Linked DNA regions of Arabidopsis thaliana. The protein of the gene in region 1 purifies or fractionates together with the protein of each later gene. This does not show direct contact. Each region holds a gene or a part of one and is shown in the gene's direction. Other genes may lie near its edges.

What was found.
Region 2: the proteins of AT4G14840 (region 1) and AT2G01710 fractionate together in Arabidopsis thaliana (co-fractionation; one large-scale study listed by BioGRID). This does not show direct contact.

The regions. Positions count from the first base shown.
Region 1 is NC_003075.7:8,512,151-8,516,293, reverse strand, and holds the start of AT4G14840 (spindle assembly abnormal protein), read left to right. Parts: upstream 1-2,347; 5' UTR 2,348-2,409; exon of another isoform or gene 2,410-2,487; intron 2,488-2,566; exon of another isoform or gene 2,567-2,600; intron 2,601-2,711; exon of another isoform or gene 2,712-2,736; 5' UTR 2,737-2,761; coding exon 2,762-2,799; intron 2,800-2,997; coding exon 2,998-3,461; intron 3,462-3,541; coding exon 3,542-4,143. Other genes in the region: LOI1 (Pentatricopeptide repeat (PPR) superfamily protein), read right to left, coding at 19-484, 759-2,347.
Region 2 is NC_003071.7:313,570-317,247, forward strand, and holds AT2G01710 (Chaperone DnaJ-domain superfamily protein), read left to right. Parts: upstream 1-2,078; 5' UTR 2,079-2,134; coding exon 2,135-3,202; 3' UTR 3,203-3,424; downstream 3,425-3,678. Other genes in the region: AT2G01720 (Ribophorin I), read right to left, coding at 3,624-3,678.

The DNA.
Region 1 (4,143 bases):
AGCCTAAACTAATAAAGATTACCAATAATCCTTACAAGAACATATCCCATCTTTAAACCGATGAAACCGGTTATTGTCTCTCACAATGATCTCTCGTTTAACACTCCCAGAGACAAACTTGAAGAAGCTGTGGCAATCTCCGCAGATTCTAAGGTTCTTGGTGATTCTGATTGGGACACTGAGTGGTAAAGATAACAATCCAAATGCTAGAGCCAGTTTCTCACTGTGGTGCGAGACTTCTGCTGCTTTTTCTTCTTCCTCCAGATCGTAAAGCGAGAGTTTCAGGTCGGGTTTGTACCCTGCAGCTTCCATTTCGTTCCTTAGCTTGGCCAGCGTTGTTTGAATTTCTTTGTTCAGTATGTGGGATCTGTCCTTGGCTTGAAAGGCATGGACTTGGTTCTTCACTGTGATCCAACTGTATCCGGCTCCTTTCTTGATCCCTACGCCTTTCAGCTCCTCTCTTACGGTGTTGGCTTCCGCCCACCTATCATTGATTAGTTATAATATAGTTAGATCATAAGTAACTGAAGACAAAATAAATGGTTGGTCTCCCCTGCTTCATGTTTAACACAAGTTTCATCTATTTAAAACTCGATTCAGATAATGCTCAGATACTCCTAGTTTTGTAGTCTTTCTTCTAAACATTTGGGTGGCTCTTGTTTACAAAGCATCGTGTGGCTTCTTTTGAATTGATTAGAATATGATTTCAACCTAACAAGATGAATAAAAATTGAATAGAATCAATGCGGTTCATTTACCTCCCAGCCGCTGCAAACGTATTGGAAAGCAGAACGTGGTTGCCTGAATCCTTAGGGTCGAGTTTGAAAAGGTTCTCAGCTGCTAGTAATCCCAGCTGTGGCTTACCATGCATCCTACAAGCATTCTGAAGAGCACCCCAAACCGAAATTGTCGGTTGAATTGGCATTTTCTTTATGAATTCATAAGCCCGTTCTACCATTCCCGCTCGCCCTAGCATGTCCACGATGCATGAATAATGCTCAGCCCCTGGCTCAATGCCATAAGTACTCCTCATCGAATCAAATATCTTCATACCATTTTCCACAGCCCCTGCTCTACTACAAGCGGAAAGCAAGGACACAAAAGTCATATAATTTGGAGTTGGACCACATCCACGTGGTGCCATTTCTTCAAATAAAGCCAATGCCATATCAACCTGACCCTGATGAGCATATCCTCCGATCAATGAATTCCGAGTCACTAAGTTCTTCTCAGGCATCTCATCAAACGCTTGTTCTGAATCTTCTATACATCCACATTTTCCATACATGTCAACGAGGGCACTTCCAACAAATATAGTCCTTTCAACACACGCCTTCACAGCGTGAGCATGTATCGATCTTCCCAACTCAAGACCAGCCATACCAGCACACGCACTCAGAACACTTGATATCATAAAATCAGAGGTCTCAACAATATCCTTCCTTGAGCGTAAATATAATACAGACGCCTTCTCATCCTCATGATTCTGCACATATGCAGCAACCAATGAACACCAAGAAACAGCATTTTTAGTTCCCATTTCAGTAAAGATAATCTCACTGCTACGTATCTGCTTACACTTTCCATAGAAATCAATCAACCCATTGCAAACAGAGACGTCTGTATCAAACCCACTTCGTAACACAAGCCCGTGTAACTGCATTCCTAGATTCAAGTGTAACCAATCCGAACAAGCATTAAGGAAAGCACAAAAAGTTATCGAATTCGGGTGCCCATCAATCCTTCTAAACTCAATAAACGCTTCAATAGCTTCCCTAGGCCTTCCATCAGTCACAGAGTTAGATATAAAAGCATTCCAAGTTTCAAGGTTCCTCTCAGGAATTTCATCGAACAACTTCCGTGCATCATCTCTAAGCCTAGTTTTGCAATACATATCAAAAGCACTACACCCAACAAACACATCAAGTATCCTACCACACTTCACAGCAAGCGCATGAATCTGCTTCCCAGTAACGGGTAAACGCAGAGAAGCCACAGCTTTAAAAGCACAAGGGAAAGTGAAGTCATTTGGAACAACACCTTCTCGTCGCATCTCGAAGAATTCAACCAAAGCGGTGGAGAAATGACCGTTCTGAGCAAGTCCGGAGATAAGTGAAGTCCAAGAGACGACGTTTCGTGCAGGAGTGAGTCGGAGAACGAGTCGGGCTGATTCCGGATGGTCGAGTTTTGAGTACATGTTGATGAGATAGTTCGCGAGAAACGGAGGTGGTGGTGAATCGAGGGTTTTGACGATTCTTGCGTGAACGACGCGACCCAAACGCATGGAACTCGCGGAGATTGCATTCTTGAGAAGTAACCCAAGTGCGTCCGCGGAGAGGAGGCTCATAACTAACGCCGGTGATCGGAAAGGTCATAGCTTTCAAGTCGGTGAAGAAGAAACATTGAACGGTATAATCGTAATTTCAATCTTCATCTGTGTAAACAAAAACAAACTAAAAGGGTATAACTGTTATTCCACCTCTGTTTGTAGGACTAATCTGATCGAAAAGAGGATATATAAGAAACGAATGAGTTTGATAAATTTGTAATCTGTTGTAGTTGAAGCATAAGATCGGCTACTCTGTTCTTGACTCTCCAAAGTTCGTATCTTTATCTGCATTCTGGAGAAATTTCTAATCAACTTAACTTTTAATTTGTGTGGGTTTGTTCCCTTAACATTGTTATAGATTAGAATTCATCCTTTGCTTTGTTTATTTGGGTGTTTATCTATCGCAGGAATTAGGGTTTTTGGTCTGCTTCGATGGATATGGATCAAGAGATAGGTCAAAATTCTCCTGGGTAAATTCAATTCATTAAGAACTATCAATATGTTTACACTTCTGTATAGGTTTCTCTGCATTGATTCTAGGAAACTTTGAGTCATGATCGATTTTGTTTTGTTATTGGGAATAGAGTAATGAATATATGTGATTATAACTGCAAAGCAATTAGTTAAGTTATGTTATTTGATTCAATCACATTTATGAATCTGCACAGATTTGATGGTGAATCAGTAGTGTCAATGAGTAATAGAAGCAAGGAGACTGAACCAGTCCCGGTTGAGAATGACTATTATCGGGAAAACGGATTCAACAGTGATGGTGATGGTGATGATGTGAAGGTTAATGGTGACAGAAGCTCCTTCACTGATTTGAATCAACTCCCGGCGATTCCGCCAGCTTCTAGTGGTCAAGGTTTGCCGTTTGCACCTGTCGATTTCCCGAGCCCCGGCGATGTTTGGACTTGGAGAGTTGGGAGGAGAGTGAATAATGCCGGGTTCCATAAGGATCGCTTACTCATTCTCCCGGAGAGGCTTAAGGGCAAGAATGTACCCAAATCTTTTGCAAGCAAAAACACTCTTTCGCGTTATCTCGAAACTAGTTTCCCTGATATGGATGCTAATGCATTCTTTGCATCTTTTACCTGGAACATTCCGGCTTTGTTTCAGCCTGCAGAAAGAGGTAGCAACTAACACTCTTCTGTTGCGTCAGCCATAAAACTCTATCTGCAACACATGAATGATGTTTCTTTTTTTCTGTAGTTGATGCTGCGTCTCTGTTTGAAGAGACATCCAAAGAAGGACAGAATCAAGATGAGGATGCTGAGGATGTAAAAAAAGAAGGATCAACTTCGCGTTACAGCCAGAGGAAGAGAAAACAGGTGCAGATACAGACTAATGAACCTAAAGCAACTCCGCGAGCTAGCAACAGGAAAAAGACAGCCACAACAACACCAGCTGCTGAACATAAGTCAGCTCGGGAATCTTCCTCGAAACGTTACACAAGACAGCAACAAGGTGATGTGTTTGACTTGACTGAAGAAAACAAGGAATCAGATGCAAAGAAAGGCAGCAAGAGGATGAAGAAACGCAGAGGTAACTATGCAGACGAAGAAGAAGAAGAAGAGGCTTTTGTTCCGCATATCTATGTTTCTTCTATGAACGGTGTCATTGCAGTCTCTCACCCTCCTGTGGATATAAACCCAGAAGAGTTTGACAGTTATCTGAACTCTCTAGAGAATCTTCTTCAGCAACAGCCTTCAGAAGCAGGACAGGAGTCTTCATCATCACTTCCCGTTAGTGCAAGCTCTCCAGTGAGAGATTACGAATGGACAGAAGCTCGAATGAAGCTTTCATCGCTTCTG
Region 2 (3,678 bases), on another chromosome or scaffold:
CGAGAAACCAAAATCGCGATCGGAGAAATCGATGAGAAGAAGGAGCGGAGGATTATTTCAACGGCAAAGACGAAAACAATCAGATCTGGTCAAAAACGATGAACTCATCTGTGGCTACCATAGTTACTCGGTTTCTCCAATTCGATTTCTGCACAAACTAATTTCTGATCTTTTTTTTTTATTAATTTGTTTTTCTTTCTTAGTGGATTTGTTTTTTGGTCACAAGTGATGTCTTTAAAAAACAAGGAAAAAAAACTAATAAAGAAGACAAGTGAAAAGTGCGTGATCACTGTATCAAATGACAACTTCACCCTTAATGTTAGTAGCAGCTAACCGGGGTAATATTGGTATTTACTAGAGTGGTATTTTTTACAATTTTAGGTTACAGTATTTGGTTATATTAATTTTTCTATTTTGAAACATTAGCTAAAACATGATTATTCTTTATTTATTCACATCACATTGAAAAGTAAATAAATTGTAGTTGGAAATAATATCATTTCTTCATATCAATATGAATATTATTATCAATATTGATAATTATATTTTTATTTTTAACATTTTTATAACATCTTCAAACACATACATTATTTCAAATACCATTAGATATTATATTATTATTTTAAACATTTATTATTATTTCATATCATGCTTTTTTATAGGTGACTTAAATATGGACTTTGTTTCCAATAATATAGTTATATCAAATTTTATTTTTTAAACATTTAATATCATTTCTTATCATGCTTTCATTGCTTTTGTTTATAGTTTGAATGAACGAAAAGAAAAAACGATAATCATGTTTTATTTGTAAAGTTTGTTGTGAGTAGTATTGCAAATAAATTTAATATTTTATTCGGCCGGCAAACGTTACAAATAAAAAATAATTATTATTTCCATTTTATTTGTACTATGTACAACAAATAAATAAATTATGGTAAGAGATAATATTAAATGTTTTTATAATTTTCATGTTTTATTTGTATTATTTTGTGAGTGAATCAAAGATGAACTTTTGTTTTGGTAGGTAGTCATAGATGAACTTTATTTCTGATTTTTTTTTTTTTTTTGTCAACAGATTTTATTTAGAGCTCAAAAGAGCCAATTGTGAGGAAAATTATTTATAAAAGTGACATGAAGCGGTTCAATATGAATTTTTCGTGCCAATTTGTCCGCCTTTACATTTGCAGTTCGAGAAATTAAAGATAAAGAAAACTTTGTGAATTCCTCCTTATATCGGTCTTTAGTTCCTCCAAATAAGTTGAAAACGCTGGTCATTCGGTTGGAGAAGACACCATCTTCACCAAGTCTGAATAGTCTGTAAAAAATGCTACTTCTTGGTTGTCGGCACCAATCATACACTTCATCGACCAAAGTAGTGCTTCGACTTCTGTATGGAGTGGATAAAGACTTCTACGAAGATTAGCAGCTCCCATGGTTGGCGAGTCTCCATTTGATGATCTGCAAAACCACCCTAATCCAGAAAACTTATCGCTTCCTTTCCAAGATCCGTCCACAAAACAACGCAAACCAGAATAAATATTATCGTGTGATATATTCTGAACCCGAATTTGTTTTTTCGATCCCATGGAACCGTTATTTTTGGTATTGAGCTCAAATTGAGCTAACTGCCATAATTCTGCCTCTTTTTCTGTTAAACATAATACGTCTAACTTTATTTCCGATATTCTTAGCTCTAGAAAATTTTCATTCTTAAAACATTTAATATTATCTTGACCATATATTTTTTAGTTATGTTGTCTGAATAAGATGAATAAACAATAATTATGTCTCATTTATAAATTATAACTCTCTAGTGAGTCAAATACCGACTTTATTTCCAATATACTATAGTAATTTTTCCTTTTATTTACCTTTTTAATGTAGTGTTAATAAAACCAATAAAGTATATAATCATATTATTTTTGTAACTGGTGACACAAAGCTGGATTTTATTTGCAATATTATAAATATGGCGAAATAGGAAACGAATTGTAAGTAGGTAACATTATAAAAGGGTGAAAAATAATAACATAAAATAAAATTGTGAAAAATAATAACATAAAAATGAAGAAATGATTTTATTACTAAATAAATTTGGTAACAAATAAAGTTTTAGTTTCCGTTTACTCCAATGTTACTATTTTTTTTCCCCCGACCATTTTTACACACAGCCAATCAGAGCCTTGTTTCATCGTCTCTTGTCGAGGCGATAATATTTAGATCTGCTCACCATTTCTCCGCCATCGCCGACGGAAGAAGAAAGATGGGAGACAACAACCCTAACCGATCAGAAGCAGAACGTCTTCTCGGAATCGCGGAGAAGCTTCTCGAGTCACGAGATCTAAACGGTTCAAAAGAGTTTGCAATCTTAGCTCAAGAGACAGAGCCACTCCTCGAAGGCACCGATCAAATCCTCGCCGTCGTCGATGTCTTACTCTCATCAGCACCAGAGAATCGTATCAAAAACCAACCAAACTGGTACAAAATCCTTCAGATCGAAGATCTAACTGAATCATCAACAGACAACGATCTAATCAAGAAACAATACCGTCGTCTTGCTCTTCTTCTCCACCCTGACAAAAACCGTTTCCCTTTCGCCGATCAAGCTTTCAGATTCGTGCTTGATGCATGGGAAGTTCTATCAACACCTACGAAGAAATCTCAATTCGATGGAGATTTGAATCTCATCTTCACTAAAGTAAATCTCAACACTCAGAAATCGAAGAAGAAAACAACAACGAATGAGAAGATGTCTACGTTTTGGACGGCGTGTCCGTACTGTTACAGTCTTCATGAGTATCCTAGGGTTTATCAAGAGTATTGTATTAGATGTCAAAACTGTCAAAGAGCGTTTCACGCTGCGAGTATTCCTCAGTTGCCTCCGTTGATACCTGGTAAAGATGAGTATTATTGTTGTTGGGGTTTTTTTCCGATGGGGTTTGTTGGTGGTAAAGGAGGAGAAGCTGCCATTGCTAATGGAGTAGATGCAGCTAAGTTCCCTAATTGGATGCCTCCGGTTTTCTCATCCGGCGGCGTTGCAGCTCCTCCAAGTGGTAATGGTGTTAGTTTTGATGGATGGTCAGGTGGTGCGGCGAAGAGAGATAATGAGGCTGTGAGGAGTAATAATGGTGTTGGAGTTAATTCAGATGGAACACCGAAGAAGAGAGGAAGAGGAAGGCCGAAGAAGAATCCGGTTTAGTGATCTCTTTTCAAACTCCGGTCATGATTGTTAAAATTATGGAGACAAAATTTTAAAGGCAAGTTTTTTTTAAGGCAAGGAAGTTTAGGATCAGCGTTTGTTGTCTTAGTGTAAACTTTATTATGCATTTGTTGTTATTACCGTTGTGTAATTGTGTTATCTTGATTTACTTTGAAACATTTTCCTCATTACATAATTTGGCAATTCGCTCTTTTCCACTTCACTTGTTGGATGGATTAAACACTTTAGATTCTCTGTAAATAAAATTGAGGAAAAATCAAGATTGGAGAGCAAAGTAGTGTCAAAGATATAACTCTACTAAAAGCAGCAACACCTACAAAGTTTAGTTCTTCAAGTGATGATCAAAAGTATTTTCTTTTACGAGTCTATAAGTGAAAGCGAAGGACTGTTGATAAGACTTCTACTTCCTGACGATATTGAGATCGATGTGTACATACGCAAGCGAAGCCACAAAT